Linked DNA regions of Arabidopsis thaliana. The protein of the gene in region 1 interacts with the protein of each later gene in a pairwise test. Each region holds a gene or a part of one and is shown in the gene's direction. Other genes may lie near its edges.

Region 1 (7,072 bases):
ATTTTACAGAGATCATGTTGACCGAGCTTCGTATGGATGTGTTGCACAATCAAATCAATAGCAACATGGTTATCACCACCTCGGGGAATTATTATATCTGCGTATTTCTTTGTTGGGAGTATGAAATCCTCAAATGCTGGCTTCACAAACTTTGAGTACTGCATAAGAGTTTCACACATGAAAACATAAATAAAGAAATTATTTGCAAAACAAGAATATACAGCCACACAAAACCTGGTCAAGAACAGTGGCAATATCTCTGCCCTTCTCAACAGTATCGCGTTTTATCCTTCTCGCTAGACGCACATCGGCATCTGCATAGATAACGCCATGATGTAAAATAAGAGACCAATGTGTTACCTTCATGAGTACATATACAAGTGCAGCGTCTCATATATGCTACGGATTTGACTACATAAGTGTTAACAGGTTTGGTATGGGAAAGACCTGCGTCTACAAATATCTTCATGTTCATCAAATCTCGCACCCGAGGGTCATGGAAAATGAGTATACCTTCCAGAATTATAACGTCAGAAGGATTCACCTGCAAATATATCATAAACAGAGAAATATTAGTATAAGCATGATTCTTATATAGGCTATGATGACAAGTTTATGTATCTGACAAACAAGAGTGCATGTAATTAGTATGGAATACACAAGAAAGCTAACCACTTGATCATGAGTTTGAGCTTCAGAAATTAGCAGAAAACTTTAAATGTCAGAAGTGACTAATTGACAAGTAAAGATTCTTACCCTTCTAGGTGGAAAAACATTGTTCTTGTAACTTTTGAAGTCATAATTAGGAATATCTACTGCTTGTCCTTTTCTTAACTTCTCCATGGAAGACAATAATTGCTCAGTATCGAAAGCGTCTACAAGACAAGGAAGCATATGACACACAATTCGTAGATTCAAAAGGCTAAGGGACACAGAACAGCGTGCATTAGATCAAAAGACCCATTAGTTTTTCAAAAACTTACTAACCAGGATGGTCAAAATTGTAATCATGAACTCTTACAAGCTCCACTTCATTTACATTATGGTAGAAAGAATCCTGCAAACAAAGATCAACCTCGGTGCATTATATATCGACTTACAAGAGCTTTAAAAAAATGGTTTATATTGTTGCATAATCATATCGAGGACAAGAATCACCTGATTTACAACAACAGCTCTCTGATCATGCAGTTGCTGCATAATCATATCACAGACAGTTGTTTTCCCGGATGCTGCACCTCCAGCAACTCCTGAAAACAACATTTTCTATTTAACATTTTCTGTTTCTAACCATCTTTGGTAAACTAAAATCCACCACGACTCTCACCGATCACAAAAGGTTGACCATGTTCTTCTTCCTCAGCCATTTGCTCTGGTCTATTTGAAGCTAAACCATCCATTTGATGAAATCCTGAGAAATGAACCTTTGAGGATGTCTCTATTATATTCACATCCGACTTTGAAGCCATTCCTACAACACAAATATGCAAATCTAAATTCACATGAAATATGCCAATAAGGAAAGCAAAGCTACCTTTGTTGTCACCATCCAGGAACAAAAAGGAACACTTTCCAGTCAAAAAACAATTCCTCAAAAGAATCAAACTTTTTAGTGATATTAGTTAGATGCCACAAGTGCCAATGCCGTGATACCCATTTTCTCAAATCCAGTATAACACACAAAACAATCAACCAATCATGATAGGCCACCAGATAATAGTAACGCCAATCCTAAACATGAAACCGTAACTTTTTCCCGGGTAAAAAAGGGAAAGAACAAAAAGAAAACAGAGATCAGAAGAGAAGAAAGCTAGATTTTTTTAGATCAATACATGCAAAAGAATTATAAGAAACGTTTCATCATCATATAAACCAATATAAACCGAATCAACATGAAGATAAAAACTCACGAAAAAAGAAAGAGGGATTGAATAAGCTTCGAGATCACCGATTAGATATAGCTAACAAAAGAGCTTCCAAGTTCCAGATAAAGAATCTAAACATATAAAGAGAGAGAGACACGAGCATTGCCTGTTAAACTCGATGCACAGACAAAAACTGGACTTATTAAAAATAAAATATATTGATAACGTATATAAGTGTATGTATATGCGTTGAAAGAGAGAAAAGAATGAAGGGAGGATGCAGCGGCGGTGACGGGTTTTTGCGGAAACCGGAAAGTGGTTTTTTTGGTTTTACGAAAGTACCCTTCCCACTGAGGGACGTGGTAGTGGCAATTCTCGTAAATGTGAGAGTGTTTGAGTCCCTAAAGTAGAGAGTGTGATCAAGGATCCACGTCAGATCCGAATAGGATGTAGGACCTACTATCGAAAGCTGCAGCTAAAAACGCAGTGATATAGATGCGTGTGGTCGAATGCAATCTTACGTTACTGCAAAATTATTTATTTTATACTATTTTGGATTACGTCTACAATAATTTGTTTATTCTGTTTTTATCCATAACATTTTAACTTCATATGTTTCCTCCAAATCTATTTACCTGAATTTTGTTTTTCGAAATATATAATTTACCAATTAATATTAGTTTTCTCAACATCTACACTACCAAAGGATGCTACAATGTAAAATATTATACACAGGAACAAAATTAGCATATTTACAATTTAATCTGCACGATTGTTTGTCTATAAAATTTGAAGGATATAATCAATTTCTTCTTTTAGTTCCGTAGATTTTTTTATGATTCATTAATGAAGTTTAGACCAGAGATTAGGATCCTTAAAAAATTTGGATGAGCAGCTTAGAACCACTTTAAAAATTAATTTTGTACATCCAAAATTATCGAAACAAACTATTACCCAAATCAAAGATATTGCCTTTACTTCAAAAACTGATTACAGTTTTGGGTATGTTTTAGCACTATACCATCTTATTCTTATCATACCATGATCTTCTTGGAGAATTCATCTAATACTATTTTGGTCATAAATCAACATTTCAAAAAATATCCACGTTACAATTGTAAATTGTTATTACTTAATTATGTCTTAAGTTTTTTAACCACACCAAAAAAATATTAAATCATATACACAAACATTTTTCGAATGTATTTGTTATTTGATTTCTCACACAAATGTGAAGAAGTATGAGGGTGTTTCGATACACTTTTAGAGTTTGTTTGTTTTTTTGTAATTTTTTTCTCACAAATGTGGGGTGATGTTATTATATTTGAAAATTTGTGGACCTTAATGCAAATAACGCCTCTAATAGTAGATTCGTGAAGATGATAAGCTGACAAAACGACAGCGTCTAATATAGTTTCGAGTTTCTTCGACAGTGGCAATGTTTTCATCTTCGATTAGGTTAATCGTATCTGGGTTCCACCGGACTCAACCCCTAAAATCGCCGGTAAATTCTCCGAGCGTCTTCATCTCCGTACCTAAATTCTTCAACTCTGAGTCAAAATCGACGGGAACTGGTTCAAGATCCGTAGCAATGAGCAGCGTTGAGAAAACCGGGTCGGATTCTGGAGCAATAGAGAATCGAGCGAGCAGGATGAGAGAGAAGCTTCAAAAAGAGCTCGAACCAGTGGAGTTAGTGATCGAAGATGTTTCGTATCAGCACGCTGGTCACGCCGGAATGAAAGGTAGAACCGACGATGAGACGCATTTCAATGTGAAGATCGTTTCTAAAGGATTCGAGGGAATGAATTTGGTGAAGAGACACAGGTTGGTCTATCATTTGCTCCGGGAAGAGTTGGATACTGGATTGCACGCTCTTTCTATCGTCTCCAAGACGCCGTCTGAGTCTCCTTCTAAAGACTAGTGTACTGGTACTGTTTAATGTATCTTCTGTTTCTGTTATCAGAGTTTCTCATCAAACTCTGTTCGATTCAAAGATTGAATTTTTACCATCAAAGTGCTCTGTTTTGGAATTTATTGCGGAGCCAAAGTCTTCATTTTTACATACGCTTGAGGTTGTGTGTTGGTGTTTCTGGAATTGTGTGTTGGAACAAAGACACTTGCTTTTAGTTCAATTCGAGTTCTGTCTTTTCTAGCATTCAAAACTATAATGGTCATAGCTTGATGAATTGAATTAAGGCTCCATTTAGTTGAAAGTCCAATCAATGGTCATGTGTTTGAATTCTCAAAGGAAGCTCGATTGTGCCGTGTTTGTTAGCTTGGAGCCAAAAGGGTTGTTTTTCCATGTTTCTGTCTCTTTCTTCTTCAGATTATTCTCCCATTGTCATCAATGGCGTTTGCGTCTTCTAATCGCTAACGCTAGAAACAAAACGCCTTTTCCAATAGTCCATGTCACCTTCCTTTAGCAACAAATATATGTACTTTATGGGCTTAAACCAAATCTAATCAGTGATCACCTTTTTCTTTTGTGGGTAAAGTGAATCGTCATTTCCATTGTCTGGAGAAGCTAAACCGTCCCTCTTCTATACATCAACAGAGCAAGTTACGTTAGTATATGTCCGAAGATAAATAAAACGAAAAAAAAACAACTTTCCAAACTATCATCATTTTCACTACATTGGCGATGAGGGAGCTCTCGGAGCTTAACAGAGACAGAGACGGTGATGAAGAAGTGTGGGTCAAACACTATTCATCCAAGCACCAGATACTTCTCGTAGGCGAAGGAGATTTCTCCTTCTCTTGCAGCTTAGCCACTTGCTTCGGCTCTGCTTCCAATATCTATGCTTCCTCTCTCGATTCATACGGTAACACTTGGTTTACTTACATTGTAAGAGTTATTAAGGTTTTGATTTCGTTATCACTTCCATTTCTGTGATCACTTACTAAGTTTTTGAACTTCCGGTGAATGATTTGATTATTCAAGATTTACACTGTTTTACTCTCTGTTTATAGATTATAAACCTGTTAACAAAGGTTGCAGCTTTAAGCTCGATTTCCTCAGTTGTTGCATGTCTTTTATGGTAATTAAACCAGATGATGTGGTTAGAAAATACAAGAATGCAAGATCAAATCTTGAAACATTGAAGAGACTTGGAGCTTTCCTTTTACATGGAGTTGATGCTACCACACTGCATTTTCATCCTGATCTTCGTTATAGAAGATTCGATCGTGTCATCTTCAACTTCCCGCACACCGGTTTCCACAGGAAAGAGTCTGATCCCTGTCAAATACAGTAAGTTCAACATTTTGAAATTACAAACACTTTCTTCTCGCAGTTGAATGTGTAGACCAGCTGCTGCAACTTTGAGGAATTTGTTTAAAGATTTTTTACATGGTGCAAGCCATATGCTAAGAGCTGATGGAGAAGTTCATGTCTCTCACAAAAACAAAGCACCTTTTTGTTATTGGAATCTAGAGGAGCTTGCTAGCAGATGCTTTCTTGTGTTGATTCAGCTTGAGGCGTTCGAGAAGAGAAACTACCCTGGTTATGAGAATAAGAGAGGAGATGGGTCTAGATGTGACCAACCTTTCCTTTTGGGAGAGTGCAGTACTTTCAAGTTCAGATTCTCTCGTGTCGCCAAGGAACTTTATGCAGAGAAGGTGAAGGAAGTAGAATCAAAGTGTCCCCGAGAGTTATCAACTCGGGCGATGAATAAGAAACATGCCCGTTTTGAAGACAGCTCGATACATCTTGAACTGCCAAGATGCACTAAACGGTTCAAAAGAGTTTCTCTTGAAATGCATAATGGAGAATTACAACGAATGGTGATACGGACGAGGTTTCCTCATCACTACACTAAAGAATCATCAGAAACACGCCGCCTACTTTGTCAAGACTATGCAGTACAAGCTAGCCAAGAACCGTTCCCTGAACGCTCTCTCCGATTCAGAGGAGTTTCTCATGGAATTCATAACGGGAGAGTACGAAAAATGTTAATACGGAACAGCACTGGAGAATCAAGAAAACTAAGAATGAGGAGGCAGAGGAACCTTAAAATCAGGTAAATATATCCTTGATAGTTGCTTATATTATGAAATAAACATGCTAAATCGATATTGAAATTTTGTAGGTGACTCATATCCAATAAACTTCAAGGAGCTTCTGAGGATAACTTTGATGGAAAGAAGATGACTGAAACTTGGACTCACTAACAAAGCTGCATTCTATGTTCTCTTTTGTTTATTAGGCTGATTACTGACAGCTCAAAACCGCAATGCTCTATATGGAGATAATCTTTTGTTGTAATTGTGTGTATTTATCTGGATGTTTTCCTTTTGGAGATTATGTAGTTGAAATGATTGTGAGTCTCGCGACTTGCATTGTGGAGAAAAATCCCATAAATCTCTTGTGATATATCCAACTAAGACCCTACGCCAGAAGGTTTGGTAGGACGCATTCTTAACGTAATACAGTATTCGGAGTAACTTGAAAATGTTATTGTAACCAATTCTTGTAGTCTGTAGACTATTATATACTAAGCTTAACCACTATTCCGAGTTACATTGGAACAACTCATAGGGTTTTGAATGGAGGTTGGGTACAAAACGAACTAAAACATGAGCGGACTAAAGTATCATATTTTTGGGGCGGGCACTAACACACACAACCTATATACAGAACGCATTAGCTTAATCAACAGAATCAATTTTGTGATGGCCTTTTGTTTTGGTTTCGCTAGATGAGAAACTGAACCGTCTCTCTTCTTAAATACAATAACGTTACTTTTGTTATTTTGAAAATTGAAAATTGAAAATAAAACCTTCCAAAGTAGCATCCTTTATCGCTGCAATGGCGATGAGAGAGCTCTCGCAGCTTAACAGAGACAGCGACGGTGATGAAGAAGTATGGGTCAAACACTATTCATCCAACCATCAGATACTTCTCGTCGGCGAAGGAGATTTCTCATTCTCTCACAGCTTAGCCACTCTCTTCGGCTCTGCTTCCAATATCTGCGCTTCCTCTCTCGATTCATACGGTAACACTTGGTTTACTTACATTGTCAGAGCTTTTAGGGTTTTTTTATTTCGTTTTCGCTTCAGTTTTCTATGTTTTAGGTTTTAGGGTTTTATGTCACTATTTTAGCAAGATATCATCACTCTTTCAGTTTGATCAAACTTGTCTCTGAGAAGAATCGAAATCAATTTCTAGTGCAATTGTGGAGCTTCCGGTGAAAGATGTGATTTTTATA
Region 2 (8,538 bases), on another chromosome or scaffold:
AGGTATTCAAGAGTTCAAGCAGTAGAAGCACTAGAATTTGGTTGTATCTCATTACATATTTTTTTTGTCTTTGGATGGAGTAAAGGAAGCAAAAGGCAAAGGAGACAGTGTTACTGTTGAAACATGTCCACATTACCTAGCTTTCTCAGCCGAAGAGATTCCAGAAGGTGATACTCGTTTCAAATGCTCCCCTCCTATACGTGATGCGGCAAATAGAGAAAAATTGTGGGAAGCTTTGATGGTATAATATATATTTTACGCAATCTTTGTTGTGATACCTTACTCGTTGATTCTGAGGTTTTGATTTGATTAGGAAGGAGACATTGATATGCTGAGCTCTGATCATTCACCTACAAAGCCTGAACTCAAACTTATGAGTGATGGCAACTTCTTGAAAGCTTGGGGTGGGATATCTTCTTTACAGGTTCGTTTAGTCTTAAAAATGTAATATGTAGAAACTGTGAGAGCACAAAAAAACTCATGGAAGAGCCAATTGCAGTTTGTTCTTCCTATCACATGGTCTTATGGAAAAAAGTATGGAGTAACGCTCGAGCAGGTAACTTCTTGGTGGAGTGATAGGCCTTCCAAACTCGCTGGACTACACTCTAAGGTTCGTTATTATAAAAAAAAACGCAGCTTCAGTATTCTCTTTTTTGTCCATACACAGCACACTGGCATAATATAGACGTGTTTTTATTAGGATTCGGGGTCCATTTATCGCAGCTTATAAGTAATGGTTTAATTATAGGGAGCGGTTACGGTTGGAAAACACGCAGATCTTGTTGTGTGGGAACCTGAAGCCGAATTTGATGTAGATGAAGATCATCCAATTCACTTCAAACACCCTGTAAGTACACAGTTTTTTCTAGAAAGATAGCTAATGGTTAAGCTCGAATAACACGAATGTGTAATCTTTATGTTATGTTTGCTTCTTGTGGTGTACAATAGAGTATCTCAGCTTATTTGGGAAGAAGATTATCAGGCAAAGTGGTTTCGACATTTGTGAGAGGGAACTTGGTTTTTGGAGAAGGCAAGCATGCTTCTGATGCTTGCGGGTCTCTGCAACTTGCAACTACTTAACTTAAAAAGGGATTTAAAAGATCTTGATCTGCACCATTTAAACAAATGTAAATATGCGATTAAGAGTTGCTCTCATGTTGCAAGATGGTTGATGTAATGAGTGAGTCTTTTTTGCCAATTGTAAGTTTAAGACTCTCTAAATCTTGTTGTTGGCTTTAAGGTTAGTGGACTCATGTATATATTGTTGATGCAAATAATTTATATCGCTTAAGTAAATGATGTATATATTGTTGATGCAAATAATTTAAAAGTATACATAATATTTGCATTGCTTGTTGTAACTAATGTTAATTTGAGTCAACTAAAAAAAAAGATGTTATCTTTTTAAATCACTTTTTGTAAGTGTTCTAAGTATTTGCATCAGTTTATCAAAATCATATATATGAAAGTTGGTCAAAATCATATATATTTGTCATGTGTCTATTAAATAATTAATGTAAGCTCTTCAACTTCTAATTTATAGGTTAATGATACATTTATTATTTATTTTTATATTATTTTATTTTACATATTTAATGTACTATTACTAAATTTATTTTAATATTACATGATTTTTCAATAAAACCATTTTAATAGTTTTTTCATACTCGAATATTTTTTTTGTAATCCAAACTCAAAGTATGAGTATATAATAATCATGGATTAGTTAGTGATTTGAGTAGGTTATTCTCTTAAATTGATATTTATATAATAAATCACCGAGGGTGTAGAATACGTACAAACCTCCATCATTTCGTCTGAACCCTCATTTTGCGCCGATTCTGTCAACAATGGTTGGAGGAAGAGGAAAACCTGGAGGAAAGGGAAGACGCAGTGTGAAGAAACAGGAAGAGAAAGAAGTTGAACGTGGTAGAGATGAGTTTTTATCAAAATCAAAAACTCCTCATCCAAAAGGATTTCCTCCAATGCAAGATCTAAGCACCAACGTGGTCACTAATAGAGGTGGATTGCAGCCTATGAAGGTAATGTAGTAGTATATTGTTCGCTTTTTGTTAATTGTTTTCGGATCAGTATACTTTTTTTTCTTTTTTCTTAAGGAATTGTGGGATGTAGAATATGTTCACATCCCTAAGAAATTGAGCTTGAAAACGGTTCTTGACAATATGAAACAAACTATGGCTCAACGTGGGTTCTACATCCGATCTGTAGATGCTTATGTTCGGAAAAGGTTTCTCACCGAGAACAAACCCCTTATTAAACGTCTTCGCCGATCAGACGTGAACATAATTGAATCACAAGAATACCCAGAGGAATATCTAGGTAAGACCACGTTATATTTATCAAAGTTTTGGTAACCTTAATGACGTCATTAAAGAGTTTTGTTTTTGATTAAATTTTTCTAATGGCATTATCATGTAATTAATTACAAAAATAAAGGTTACATTTAAAATGTACTTCCCAAATAATATAGTAGGATAATCGATGTTAATTAAATAAAATGACTTTCAATTAATTGTTTTTAAAAAGTATTATGTAATTTCATTAATTAATATGAAGGCAAACTTTGCATACTAAGTTTTATATTTTTTTACACCACCAAAAAACCAAGGTCACTATATGTAAGAAAACTATGAAACCTCTTTTTTTGTGGGAGAAATGTAGGATTTTGACAAATTAAGTAAACATTTACATCACATTTTATAGTCGATGATTAGTCGTTAACTAGTATCAGTTTCCATTGATGTAAATTTTGTATCATTTTAAATAGTGATGTTACACAAAAATTAATAGATGCATCAATTATCTAAATGATGTAAGCTTATATATTATATCATTTAAAAAAAAAGATAGTATAATAAAATAACTAAAAATACAAATGCTAAAATAATTGTGGATTTTTAATATAACAGAATTAAACAATTCCACACATACAAAACAAAGGAGAAAAAAAGAATTGTAACCTAATTCTTAGACTGTTTTATGAGAATCCAATTCGATGAGGATTGATATATACAATTCCTCTAATTAGTATTAATTTTAGAAAGAAAAAAATAGGATTAAGATTTTATTAGTCAAACTTACTTTTAGTAGTTTTAATTTAAATGTATCTAATATTTTTCAAAATTATTTTATTTTTAAAGATTGTTATCACCTAGAATTTTAACATTTTTACCTTACTTAATTTCCAATTTTTTTTTCCTTCCGCTGACATATATAATTTTACTATTTTTATAAAAAGAAATTACATAAGTGAGCAATTTTAGCATCACATTGGGCACACAAAAACCCTAATTGTATCGTTAGGTCCTTTTATTTTGTTATATTTACATAAATCTCCTTTCTTTCTCCAGCAACAGAGTGTATTCTGCTCGATAATAAATTGGTAAATCACAACACAAAAAAAAAGTGTTAAGAGATCCTTCTCCCTCTTCGAAGATGAGCGGTACGGTGAAGGATATCGTTTCAAAGGCGGAGCTTGATAACTTGCGCCAGAGCGGCGCACCAGTCGTGCTTCACTTCTGGGCTTCTTGGTGTGATGCTTCGAAGCAGATGGATCAAGTTTTCTCTCATCTCGCTACTGATTTCCCTCGTGCTCACTTCTTTAGGGTTCGTCTCTGTTCTCTTGACCAATTCAAAATTTTATCACTTTCAATGAGGTTTTTGACTGTTATTGGTTTTATCTTCTTAGGTTGAAGCTGAGGAACATCCTGAGATATCTGAGGCTTACTCTGTTGCTGCTGTGCCTTATTTCGTCTTCTTCAAGGTAAAGTTACGTTTTTTTTGTTCCCTATGATTTGATCAAAACTTAGGATTTAGGGTTTTTGTTTTTGCTTAAAGTTGTTTGTCTAATTTGGTAGAAGAAGAAGACATTGATGAAGTCATACTTATTGATTCTTTATGTTGCTTTGTTTGGTTGCAATTTTCTGTCTTTATAGCATTGAGAGTGTGTTCAAAAGTTTGAATCTTTGTCCCTATGTTTTGATCGAAAGTTTAGGATTTAGGGTTTTTGTTTTGATTAGTTTGCGTCTCTGTTAGATTACTGAAAGCTGTTTATCTAATCAGGTAGTAGAAGAAGATGGTTCGCCTATCCATTTAGCTCCAGACTTATTGATTCTTTGTTTTAATTGGTTGGTTGCAATTTTCTGTCTTTATAGGATTGAGAGTGTGTTCAAAGCTTGAATCTTTGTCACTGCACTGTAATGATTGTTCTGAAAGTTGTTACTTTCTTCTGACTGTGAATTCGTTTTCTTATTGAAGGATGGTAAAACTGTGGATACACTTGAGGGTGCAGATCCATCAAGTTTAGCTAATAAGGTTGGCAAAGTTGCTGGTTCTAGTACTTCTGCGGAGCCTGCTGCTCCTGCAAGCTTAGGGTTGGCTGCTGGGCCAACGATTCTTGAAACTGTGAAGGAGAATGCGAAAGCTTCTTTACAAGACCGAGCTCAGCCTGTATCTACCGCCGATGCTCTCAAGAGCCGTTTGGAAAAGCTCACTAATTCTCACCCTGTCATGTTATTCATGAAAGGTATTCCTGAAGAGCCTAGGTGTGGGTTTAGCAGGAAAGTAGTTGACATTTTGAAAGAGGTTAACGTTGATTTTGGAAGTTTTGACATACTATCGGATAACGAAGTGCGAGAGGGTTTGAAGAAATTCTCTAACTGGCCAACGTTTCCTCAGCTGTACTGCAACGGAGAGCTTCTTGGTGGAGCTGATATCGCAATAGCGATGCACGAGAGCGGTGAACTAAAAGATGCTTTCAAAGATCTTGGGATCACGACAGTTGGTTCAAAAGAAAGTCAGGATGAAGCTGGAAAAGGAGGAGGGGTTAGTTCAGGAAACACAGGCTTAAGTGAGACCCTCCGAGCTCGGCTCGAAGGTCTGGTCAATTCCAAACCAGTTATGCTGTTCATGAAAGGAAGACCAGAAGAACCAAAGTGTGGGTTCAGTGGGAAAGTGGTTGAAATCCTCAACCAAGAAAAAATCGAGTTTGGGAGTTTCGATATCCTCTTAGATGACGAAGTTCGCCAAGGCCTTAAAGTGTATTCAAACTGGTCAAGCTATCCTCAGCTTTACGTGAAAGGCGAGCTTATGGGTGGATCAGACATTGTCTTGGAGATGCAAAAGAGCGGTGAGCTGAAAAAGGTCTTGACCGAGAAAGGGATCACTGGAGAACAGAGTCTTGAAGATAGATTGAAGGCACTGATCAATTCCTCGGAAGTAATGCTATTCATGAAAGGTTCACCAGATGAACCGAAATGCGGATTTAGCTCCAAAGTTGTGAAAGCATTGAGAGGAGAAAACGTGAGTTTCGGATCGTTTGATATCTTGACTGATGAAGAAGTAAGGCAAGGGATTAAGAATTTCTCAAACTGGCCAACTTTTCCTCAGCTATACTACAAAGGTGAGTTAATTGGAGGATGTGATATCATTATGGAGCTAAGTGAGAGTGGTGATCTCAAAGCAACTCTATCCGAGTAAGTAATATATACAAGTCTCTGTCTGCTGGTTTGCCTTGGTGAGAGAGAACATTTCAGTTATGGTAATAATATGTTTTAGGTGTTACAAACATTGATATTGTTGCTTCTCAAGCTTTGTCTTGTTATTTCTATTGCTGAGTCTATTAGATTCATAACTATTTTTCTCTCTTTGTATCAACATAATCTTTATTTATGGTTATCTTGACCACATTTGCTTTTAGACTGAGTAACAAAACAAAGAGTGGTTTAAACAAAGAAAGCTTGATCCGACGGCTAGGATTAACACCAATCTTTCTATGTTACAGAGTTTCTTAAGATCCGACGGCTGGGATTTTGTGTGATTAAACTCAAATTTCTTAGAATCAAACCGAATGGAAATCATTTGTTTAGAGTTTAGACCAAACTGCAATCGAGCATTAACCGAGACTTTGTACATTTAAACAAGATTTAAACCAAAAGTCATCATAATTTTAAAATTGATACTGATATTGACAATTAGTTAAATATTAAACTAAAATGGTTTTGGTTTTACATTTCAATGACTTTTAGCCAAAACCGAACCATAATTTTACCAAACCAAATTTAACATTCTCCAAACCAAATAAAGAACCTGTATAAACCGAGCGGACACTTAAACCGGAAAATAAAATTAAAATTCGGACAAAGAAATTTCGTTAAACCCTAAACCCCAAAGGTCTTGTTTGCTGTATCTCCTCCATCGCTCCTGCGCCGCGTTTTCTCTCTCAAGCTCTTAAAAAACCTTTCTTTGATTTGATAATCCTAAAATCGTTTTTCCGAGGAAACCCTAATTTCTTGTTCGAACTCGAAAGATGGGAATTTTCGAACCGTTTAGAGCAATAGGTTACATAACGAGTACGGTTCCGTTCTCCGTCCAGCGATTGGGTACCGAGACTTTCGTCACCGTCAGCGTCGGCAAAGCTTTCCAGATTTATAATGTAACGCTCCCAATCTTCATAGTTTCACTTGCGTGTTCTTTATTCATTCGATTCTGTTGTTAATTTGGTTCTCTTGTTGCAGTGTGCCAAGCTCAATCTAGTCATAATCAGTAAGTTTTTCCTTCTTCTGAAACCTAAAGTTTTGTCCTTTCAATCATTCTCTTACTCAAATTCATGCATTTAGAATTGGGTTTTGTCTATGCAGTGTAAATTTTCTTATAATCTAATTTGTGTTATCTTAAAGGTCCTCAGCTTCCAAAGAAAATTAGAGCTTTAGCTTCTTACCGAGACTACACATTTGTTGCGTTTGGCAATGAAATCGCTGTCTTTAGGCGTGCTCATCAGGTATATCTCATTGTAACTATAGTTAAGTTGCTGCTTTTTTTATATCTATGAGTACTTTGTTTATAGTTGGAATTCTTGTGGGTATATCTATAGGTAGCAACTTGGAGCAAACATGTTGCTAAAGTTGATCTTCTACTGGTGTTTGGAGAACATGTGCTTAGTCTTGACGTGGAAGGAAATATGTTCATATGGGCATTCAAAGGAATCGAAGAACATCTAGCTCCAATTGGAAATCTTCAGCTTACTGGAAAGTTTACCCCTACCTCTATTGTTCACCCAGATACCTATCTCAACAAGGTGAGTCATACTTGGTTCAGGATTTCAGTTTTTTTTCCCCTGGTGTCTTCTGTTGACAAGCCTTTCTAACTCTTTGCATGTTTCTCTTACTTGGAACCACATTGGTAGGTTCTTGTAGGGAGCCAAGAGGGTCCGCTGCAGCTATGGAATATTAATACTAAGAAGATGCTCTATCAGTTTAAGGGTTGGGGTTCATCTGTCACCAGTTGTGTTTCATCCCCTGCCCTGGATGTTGTTGCAATTGGTTGTGCTGATGGAAAGATCCATGTACATAACATAAAATTGGACGAAGAGATCGTAACATTTGAACATGCCTCGCGAGGTGCTGTTACTGCTTTGTCTTTCAGTACAGGTAAACACCTAAGCCCTGTAGTTCTATTTGTAAAATCTTTGAGCGCTTCTTGGTTTTATTACCTTTTAAATCTAATTTCGTAGCGGATAATAGTTTATCAATCTTTTCTTGCTGATAGATATCCTATGAGTGTAGTGACCAAAAATAATTTCGTCCATTTGTCTTTAAGTGGAGCTAAATATTTATTTTTCCATTACATAGCTTTACCATCTATGCACCCATTGTTTCATGAATTAGAATTGTCCATACATGTTTCAGGCTCAAGAGATCCATTAGTGTAGGTTGTAATTTTACTAGTAACTTTTGGTAGTAACCGTTCTATAGCTAATGGAAGTTCGATACTTTCCAGTTCTAACATGTGTTGTTTATCCTGTCATGTTAGATGGACGTCCCCTTCTTGCGTCTGGAGGTTCCTTTGGTGTCATAAGCATCTGGAATCTTAACAAAAAAAGGCTTCAGTCAGTCATTAGGGATGCACATGACAGTTCTATAATCTCATTGAACTTTTTAGCCAATGAGCCGGTGCTAATGAGTGCATCAGCAGATAACTCACTTAAAGTAAGCTAAGATTCCTCTTACCCGTTGAACCTATTTGCATCCACTTTGCCACATATAATATTTGTTTTATGCCTCGTTCCTGTAGATGTGGATTTTTGACACAAATGATGGTGATCCTCGCCTATTACGCTTCCGATCTGGGCATAGTGCTCCTCCTCTATGTATCAGGTAATTAGCTTGACGTCCACATCATACTGAATTATCTGATTGCTTCCATTTAGCTTTTCTTTCGTTATTGTGAGACTTTATACATTTTGGTGTGTAAGTAGCATTTATGATCCCTATTCGTTGTTAAAGTAATTCCATTTATGATCCCTGCCAGTTGACTATCTGTGTAGTGATGAATATTTGTGTTTCTTAATAAGAGTATTTACTTCATGGTGGCTATATCGAGGGCATGCCAATAAAGGGTCTCTTAATCATATCTGACTTCTACTTGTGGTAGGTTCTACTCTAATGGACGGCACATTTTGTCTGCTGGCCAGGATCGTGCCTTCCGCCTGTTCTCTGTCATCCAGGTAAGATACGATAC
Region 3 (8,070 bases), on another chromosome or scaffold:
AAATAGGTTGCAGTCAAATATGCATAAAGATAATATATTTAGTTTGTTAGAACATAAATTTCTCTATAATATGTATCATATAATTTCGTTTTATCGTTATCATTCTTTGTTTTCATTGATTACATTTACAAATTTTTGGTTCATGTTATTAGTAAAATAGATGTTTATGAACAAAATTGAGCTAACATATGACCTCTCATAATATATTGTTGATATCAGTTTTAATATCAATACATTAATAATACCGGGAAAAAAAATCATTCCCAAGTTTTGTAAAGAAGATGTTCATATAATTTAAGTTTAAAAGGGTATAACCAACAAAATGATTACAAATGCGTCGATGGGATAAATAATAGATATGAGAGAACCATACAAATATGATAGTGAACAAAATAAAATCTAGTATAATTATGGGTCAAAAAAACATAAAAAGAGGGGAAAAGAAAAGATAAAGGGAAAATCAAAAGGGATGAGGCAAAATAGAGAGTTTCAATAAAGATAAATTTGGGTGATGGTGACGGAATAATTCTTCGATGTTTTCGTTTTGACCATCTTTTCCTTTATTTCTCACTTTAATTTTCCTTTATTTCTCTCGCTGTTTATTCCCATAAAATTTTTAAAATTAACTAGAACAAAGCACAAAAATGGGCAATCTTCGAAATATACTAAAATTTTCTATTATAATTAACAAAATAAAAAAGAGAGGGAAACTGCTAATATCTGGAGTCCATTCTCTTGGAGAAGAGTAAAGTGGGCAAACAAAAAAAAAGGAACTGAGCTGATTCGATTCTCTTTGGGACTCCCATCCATGCATCACCTCTTTCATAGTTTCATTTTACTTTTATGTTTATTATTTTACAAGATTAAGTAATTAGCTTTTTTAACTGCAAGCATAACAAATAACAAAACCTTTATTACGGTCTCAAACGCTCAAAAATGTTTTTAAACATAGTAAAAGGTTTCGTTCAATACAATTTGAAAAAGGAAAAAACAAAAACAATTTTCTTACAAATAGATGGCCACCAACGATTAATTATTACCGTCAAACTTATAATTGGGATGACTCGGTGGTTTTGCGATGGCGTTTGTTCCAAAAGAGTGCCATATTGTTCATTTGTTCTTATATATGTTTTAATCCATAACACGTTTTGGATCAATGTTTTCAAGTAATCAAAGTGAAAGTAGAGAATATATCAATTGGTGAAAATTTTGAAATATCAATGTAATTCTTTTTAAGTGGATCCATTGATCAAGGAGGCCACTAAAATTTGCTCGAGGCTTGGTAGTGGGTTCATTTGTGTTTGATAAATACACTTTTTAGTACTCATCCCCTTTTTTTGTCTGACATCGTATATGTATATTGGTTACATCTAAATTTGTCACACTTGTGTAGCAGTGATAGTTGTCTCAGTGTGTCTATAGACTATAGTTAAATGTTAATTAGTAGTATTTATACAATACTAATTACATCATCTAAATATTTGCATATGATTCACACAAGGCAAATTTCCTTGGCTAATTGTCACACTATTTATGTGAAGGTGAGTAGTTAAAGCTAATAACCTCGAAGTTGCTTGGTTTATATGAGATCAAGTTTGGCTCTTGTAAGTGAAGATAATAATTTAAAGAGTATTTTAATCGTGATAATCTAAATGTTAGTTGATAGTTAATACGTCACGGAACATGTACCGACCGACGGCCGATTTCCATGATACAATAAAAAAATGAAAATTAGCAATCTCATAACATGCGACGACGATACTTATGGTGTTGCCACGTAGCAAGCATCTTCCTCTTAACCATGAGGTGTCGCAACCTCAGAGGACAACACGGACAAGACCGAGAAACCGCATACTAACGCTTGCAACGTAAAGCACAACACCCCTAAACTCCTATTTTTTTAATTTTCTTTTAACCTCAACACACCACGCAGCTATACACGTTTCAATGTGCTAATACGTGTCTTCTTCTCCGCCGACCAAGACACACTACAAATGTCCCGATGGTTTGGGGAGACAAATCACAGTTTCTACTACAACAACAAATACTTTTACGAAAAAAGCTTTTAAAACTTATCTAGTTTCGTTTGATACACATTTGAAGAAAGAAATGGCATCCAACCAACAGAGCTACAAAGCTGGTGAGACCAGAGGCAAGGCCCAGGTAATAAGAATATATTTTTGTGTATGTGTATACGTAAAACCACATTATATAAGCTCTAAGATGATTTGTCTGTGTAATACCAGGAGAAGACTGGACAAGCTATGGGAACGATGAGGGACAAGGCTGAGGAGGGCCGGGACAAGACTTCTCAAACGGCCCAAACAGCCCAACAGAAGGCCCATGAGACAGCCCAGTCAGCTAAAGATAAGACATCTCAAACTGCCCAAGCGGCTCAGCAGAAGGCCCATGAAACGGCCCAGTCAGCAAAAGAGAAGACATCTCAAACTGCCCAAACGGCACAGCAAAAGGCCCATGAGACGACGCAAGCAGCAAAAGAAAAGACATCTCAAGCTGGCGACAAAGCTCGCGAGGCCAAGGACAAGGCCGGGAGCTACTTATCGGAGACAGGCGAAGCCATAAAGAACAAGGCTCAAGACGCTGCTCAGTATACAAAGGAGACGGCTCAAGGTGCGGCACAGTACACAAAGGAGACGGCTGAAGCCGGTAGAGACAAGACGGGTGGATTCTTGAGCCAGACTGGTGAGCATGTTAAGCAAATGGCAATGGGTGCAGCTGATGCAGTGAAGCATACTTTTGGGATGGCTACTGAGGAAGAAGACAAAGAGCATTATCCAGGAAGTACTACTACCACTACTGCAACTACTCGAACCACTGATCCGACTCATCAGACTTATCAGAGGAAGTGATGAGAAAACAAAATTGAGAACGATATGAAAGTATCTTTGTGTTAGTTGGTCTTTTGAGTTTTGTGTTTGTGTTTTTGTAATTTCCGTTGTGTCTTTCTTTATGGTTGTGGTTCAGCTGTGTTTCTTGTTGTGACGGTGATCCTGGAGACTTCTAATTTCCAGCCAATAAGTTTAGATTTGATCCTGTTACAACTTATGTGTTCTCAAATTTCTATTTTTGTTACAATAAACAGTTATTAATACACATCATGGTCCACTTCGTATGTTGGTCATCAAGCATTAGCATTATACAGATATAGCTGCTAATCCAAACGGGTTTTACTAATCTTTCAATTTCTTTTATCAAAAATTTCAATAAAACATTTGTGTCTGCTTTTACGTTTTACGAATCGTTCAATTTCATAGATCTACTAAAATGAGAGAAGTAAACCAAAAAAATTGAATAGTAATTTATCTAAACCGAGCAAACCAAATAAATTTATCAAGACGTCAACGGACGTATACTTTGGTGACCATCCGAAACGACATCGTATAACATCTTAGGGTTATGAGTAATGACACGACGTCGTTCTCTGGGTCGGTCACTGGAGATGAAGAGAAGCGGTCGCGACATTGTAAAGATCTCTAGCTCCGTCCTTCTTCCTCGTAGCTACCCTCTCTAATCTTTTTTTCTCATTCCTGTTCTTGATAGTTTTCTAGACAGATTTCGATTAAACAAAACCGCGGAACACTTTGAAGAAATCTGCGTGATTTAGAGATGGCGGCTTCTTTATCGAGCAGACTTATAAAAGGAATCGCTAATCTCAAAGCTGTTCGTTCTAGCAGATTGGTTAGATTCTCTCATAACCCTTTTACTCAATTTTGATGTATCTAATGTTTGCTCAATAAAGTTTTCTCTTTTCCCATCTTGAATCACTTAAAAATTGCTCCTTTATATAACATTTGAGGTTCTGATTCTTTTGTTAGTTGAACCGGATTAGATAGTTACGTGAGCGTATGGTTTTGAATTATGTGAAAATGAATTTGTTTCCAATAGAAGATGGTATTGATGATCATTTGATAGTTGAATTTAACATGGAGAAGAATGATGTGGTTTTTGTTTGCAGACGTCTGCATCAGTCTACCAAAATGGGATGATGAGATTTTCCTCAACAGTGCCAAGTGATTCAGATACACATGATGATTTCAAGCCTACACAAAAAGTCCCTCCCGATTCTACGGACTCACTTAAAGATATCGTTGAGAATGTACACTCCAGCTTCTCTAGATTTGAAGTTGAATGTTTCTTTGTTAGGTGTTTGCTAATGCTGTTTTAGCTTTGGTGGTTGTGTAGGATGTGAAGGATAATCCTGTTATGATCTACATGAAAGGTGTCCCTGAATCTCCTCAGTGTGGGTTTAGCTCACTAGCCGTCAGAGTTTTGCAGCAATATAGTAAGTTTTGTTGAAATGTTGATTGAAACTGAAGAAGCCTTCTGTGAATTTTCTTTACTATTGGCGTTAGGCTCTGTGTTCTGATCTACTATCTTGTGATATCCTTCTTTAGATGTTCCTATCAGTTCTAGAAACATTCTAGAAGACCAAGAGTTGAAAAACGCTGTGAAATCCTTCAGGTGAGTATGTGGACACTTAATGAAAGTTTCATACAGAGAGTTGTATAATCTCATTCTCAAAGTTTTTTCATAAAGTTTGGCTTTGTTATTGAAGTTCGTTACCGTTCATTCCTTAATCTTTGACCTATATGATCTAGACCTCCCTTTGATTTTCAAGTCTTTATTTCTTTGCAGCCACTGGCCTACGTTTCCACAGATCTTCATTAAGGGAGAGTTCATTGGCGGCTCAGACATCATCCTTAACATGCACAAGGTTAGTTCCACTTAAAGCAGACCCTGTTTGACTTTTTTTTCCCCCGTTTCCATTGTGTTTGTTTAATCACAAGTCTCTTTTACTATTCTAGGAAGGTGAATTGGAGCAGAAGCTTAAAGACGTCTCCGGAAACCAAGATTGATCCAAAGTTTGGAAGTTATGCTGACGAGTGGAAGTTATTATGTTTTTGTTCTTTCTTTTCATAAGAATGTCTTTTCATGTACGGTAAAATAATGTCTCAGAAACTCAAAAATCTTTGGATTTCGTATGAATAAAAACTTTGGTAAACTAAGATAGCAAAATCAAAGAAGCCCAACGAGCCTTATTTATTTATTTTATTATTCATAATCAAGAATCGAACAGTAGAAAAGCATGAATAAATCACAAAACAGTAGAAACATGAGAGAACACCGTATACCCCAAGAAACCCCCCACCCCTTATATATATAATATAAATATTCTACACCATCGTATAATAGCTATAGAGATGCTGAGAAGATGCTTGTAAAGTTTAACGCGAACCCTCGAGACCAAGCCTTGAGACGAGCCAGTGAACCACCTCATCCATTTCTTTAGGAACCGTATAGTGACCAAGCCTACACAATCACATTAAAACCTCACAATCTCAGACTAAAACAACTAGATTGATAATGATAACTTTGGGATATAGGTTGAACAGTTACCCTTCATATGGTTTGAACATAGTTTGTCGGAATCCAGCCATGGCAAGTGAATGAGCAGATTTTTCTCCAAATCTATAAGGAACTACATCGTCCGCTGCAACCAAAAAACACATAAAGTGAATAAAATTCTAGATTCTCTTCGGTGATTTTATCTTGAAACAGTAAATCATATAATGATATATGTAAACATACAAGTTCCATGTGCAAGTAAGATCGGTATCGATGCAGCGCGCCTTGCAACCTCATTCGAACTTTCTATTTTGCTCCTTAAGCTCCTGCATTGTTATGTTTAAGCTTTCAATGTTAAGTCTCTGTGTTAACAAGTGACAAGAAAGGGTTGAAGACATATATTTATACCTCCAACCAGGAAGCCAACCGCTAAGTCCTACAGTAGCTCGTAGGTTTATAGTATAAGCATGTCCGGTTCCATAACGTCCAAGAGCGTAGCACGTCGTGGAGTAGAGAGCTATTGCTGCACCCATACTGAAACCTCCTATCCCAACTTTGACTGACACAAACCACAAATAACATTTTCAAGTTAAGCTAGAGATTATGATATATTATATCAAGACCTGTGACAAAGGAATGAAGATATATATAACTCATGGTTGGCTTACCATCTGTTGGCTCAGCAGATAATAGGTTAGCAATATGTGCAGCTGAAGCATCTAAGCCTTCTATATCATCATGAAGATCCTCAGAAATTTCTCCCACGTCAAACCCTGAGAGGAGCAAAGAAATTGGTTTTATTGGCAAACGCTTAAAATAATGTTTTGATGAAGTCTAGAGAAGCTAACTGAATGATCTTACAGGCAGTGCAAGGAAATCCACCGAGAAGCGAAACAGGACGCGAAGGAGCAGTTGGACAAATCCATTTGATCTGACAGAATACCATATATCTTTTATCAGAACCTTCACTAAGAATATTTAGTGATACAAAAAATTACTTCCAAGTTTGTTTCCATGGATCCTTACGTTTGGAAGAGGTAGGCTTTCCAATAGCTGAGACGAGCTGCAGAAAGAAACAGAGCCAAAGTGAGAAGTTGTTATCAAAGAACACGCCAAAATTCTACTTTCTAAAGCTCATTTTATTTGTAGTAGTCAATTAAACCAAAAAGTTAAAGCTTTTCATAACACATTTATACTTGAAACTGTTCAACTAACAGAGGAAAAGTGTTAAGTTTTGTCCTAAGAAGAGTTTGTTTTGATATCTATTAAAGTCATTTAGGCATTGTTTTGACAAGTATGACTTTAAGCTTTCAAAGCATAAAACTTTCTTTATTACTTGATTTTGTTCATAAAAACAAGGCAAGTGAGATAGTATTATAATACCTGGAGCCATTGTCTCCAAGACCGTGCAACCAAACAATAGTAGCTTGGTGCTTTCCTTTAGGCCTCACAACATAAGTCCTTCCAAACTCATAGCCCCTTGTACTTCTACTACCTACAAAAGATTTTGCCAGAAACATATATAAAGCAGAGTAATCACATAAGCACACAAGTGACACACTTAAGATAATACTAACATGAACCAAACAAGTAAGTGAGAAACAAACCAGAACCCATGCTTTGACGAGAATAGCTCATTGTTGTTGTTCAATGATCTTTTTTCACCACAATTTAGAGACTTTGTTGTGATATAGTAGTTAAAAGTTTGAAATACCAATGGAAAATATAAGAGAAGGTAAGGGAGGGGAAATGTGTATTTATAGAGCAAATTTGGAGGTGTGATGGTGAGAGGAAGGAATAAAAGAAAAGAAATGTGAATCTGAATCATTCACTATGGGATGTTAAATGTGTACAACAGCTACACAAAAAAAAAAACTATACTAGTCGTAGTCTAAGAGAAGGCATCCATGGAAAGAGACAATCAATTTTCTTCTCTTTTTCTCGTTATAAAAACAAAAGAAATAAATCTTTTTGGGAACACAAGGAATCAAAATCAAAACCAGAGCAGAGCTAGCGGCAAAACTACACAGAGGAGAGAGAGAGAAAGAGAGAATCAATGCCTTGTGGCAGTGGAGGAAAATAAAAACTCTACCGCGTAAAAGAATATATTATAGCATAACACAAGTATGTATATATATTACAAGAAACATGAGGGCATAATCCAAAATTGAAAAAGAAAGAAAAAATCTACTTGTTCAATCATTTGTTTAATGAAATATATATGAAAAACAAAAGTGAGATGATTGATGGATACCCATTAACCAGAAAGCTTAAAAAGTCTGAAACTTTACGAGAAAAAATAAAAGATTTAAAAATTTGCATTACACAATGTACAAAGGAAAAGGAATTACATATTTTATTTTAGGGTTCTTGGATTTGAGAAATCTGAGAGCACTGAGTGTAATGATGATGCGTAAGAAACATAAGTGACCAAGCTGGATTTTCATGTGGAGCATGCAGCAATAAACCAAAAAAGACTTTGATCTTTTCTCTATCTCCTTTCAACGCTTCTTTCATTACTCTGCCCTCTCTTGTTTGCCACTGTTGCTTTTTGTCCAGCAAAATTGGCTGACGATATCAAGCCCACTTATTTCACCTATTTCTCATTTTCTTCATGGTATATAGATTTTAAAAAAATGTACTGCGATTATTAGAGTATGTTTTAAAGCATCTGATAAGATGTAAATTTGCATGAAATTATTT

The links.
Region 2: the proteins of AT1G55805 (region 1) and GRXS17 interact in a two-hybrid assay, tested with the Arabidopsis thaliana proteins (one study listed by BioGRID).
Region 3: the proteins of AT1G55805 (region 1) and GRX4 interact in a two-hybrid assay, tested with the Arabidopsis thaliana proteins (one study listed by BioGRID).

What each region holds. Positions count from the first base shown.
Region 1 is NC_003070.9:20,855,670-20,862,741, reverse strand, and holds AT1G55805 (BolA-like family protein), read left to right. Parts: upstream 1-3,258; 5' UTR 3,259-3,303; coding exon 3,304-3,786; 3' UTR 3,787-4,132; downstream 4,133-7,072. Other genes in the region: UKL3 (uridine kinase-like 3), read right to left, coding at 1-158, 235-314, 448-544, 757-875, 988-1,057, 1,159-1,250, 1,328-1,469; AT1G55803 (ferredoxin-fold anticodon-binding domain protein), read left to right, coding at 4,507-4,687, 4,917-5,119; AT1G55800 (uncharacterized protein), read left to right, coding at 5,163-5,884, 5,954-5,957; AT1G55790 (ferredoxin-fold anticodon-binding domain protein), read left to right, coding at 6,673-6,859. UniProt on the Arabidopsis thaliana protein: May act either alone or in interaction with glutaredoxin as a redox-regulated transcriptional regulator, or as a factor regulating Fe-S cluster biogenesis. The glutaredoxin-BOLA1 heterodimers bind a labile, oxygen sensitive iron-sulfur cluster.
Region 2 is NC_003075.7:2,514,843-2,523,380, reverse strand, and holds GRXS17 (thioredoxin family protein), read left to right. Parts: upstream 1-3,318; 5' UTR 3,319-3,456; coding exon 3,457-3,627; intron 3,628-3,709; coding exon 3,710-3,784; intron 3,785-4,278; coding exon 4,279-5,499; 3' UTR 5,500-5,785; downstream 5,786-8,538. Other genes in the region: ALN (allantoinase), read left to right, coding at 1-2, 86-241, 314-424, 500-610, 749-847, 949-1,080; AT4G04940 (transducin family protein / WD-40 repeat family protein), read left to right, coding at 6,329-6,454, 6,537-6,564, 6,699-6,799, 6,893-7,096, 7,205-7,448, 7,831-8,006, 8,092-8,174, 8,452-8,524. UniProt on the Arabidopsis thaliana protein: May only reduce GSH-thiol disulfides, but not protein disulfides. Participates probably to the maturation of iron-sulfur proteins and to the regulation of the redox state of the BOLA proteins.
Region 3 is NC_003074.8:5,304,941-5,313,010, reverse strand, and holds GRX4 (glutaredoxin 4), read left to right. Parts: upstream 1-3,386; 5' UTR 3,387-3,627; coding exon 3,628-3,699; intron 3,700-3,976; coding exon 3,977-4,117; intron 4,118-4,203; coding exon 4,204-4,303; intron 4,304-4,415; coding exon 4,416-4,482; intron 4,483-4,656; coding exon 4,657-4,735; intron 4,736-4,826; coding exon 4,827-4,877; 3' UTR 4,878-5,246; downstream 5,247-8,070. Other genes in the region: AT3G15670 (Late embryogenesis abundant protein (LEA) family protein), read left to right, coding at 2,110-2,163, 2,247-2,870; AT3G15650 (alpha/beta-Hydrolases superfamily protein), read right to left, coding at 5,247-5,331, 5,419-5,512, 5,611-5,693, 5,776-5,926, 6,036-6,140, 6,229-6,298, 6,394-6,487, 6,751-6,862 and 1 more.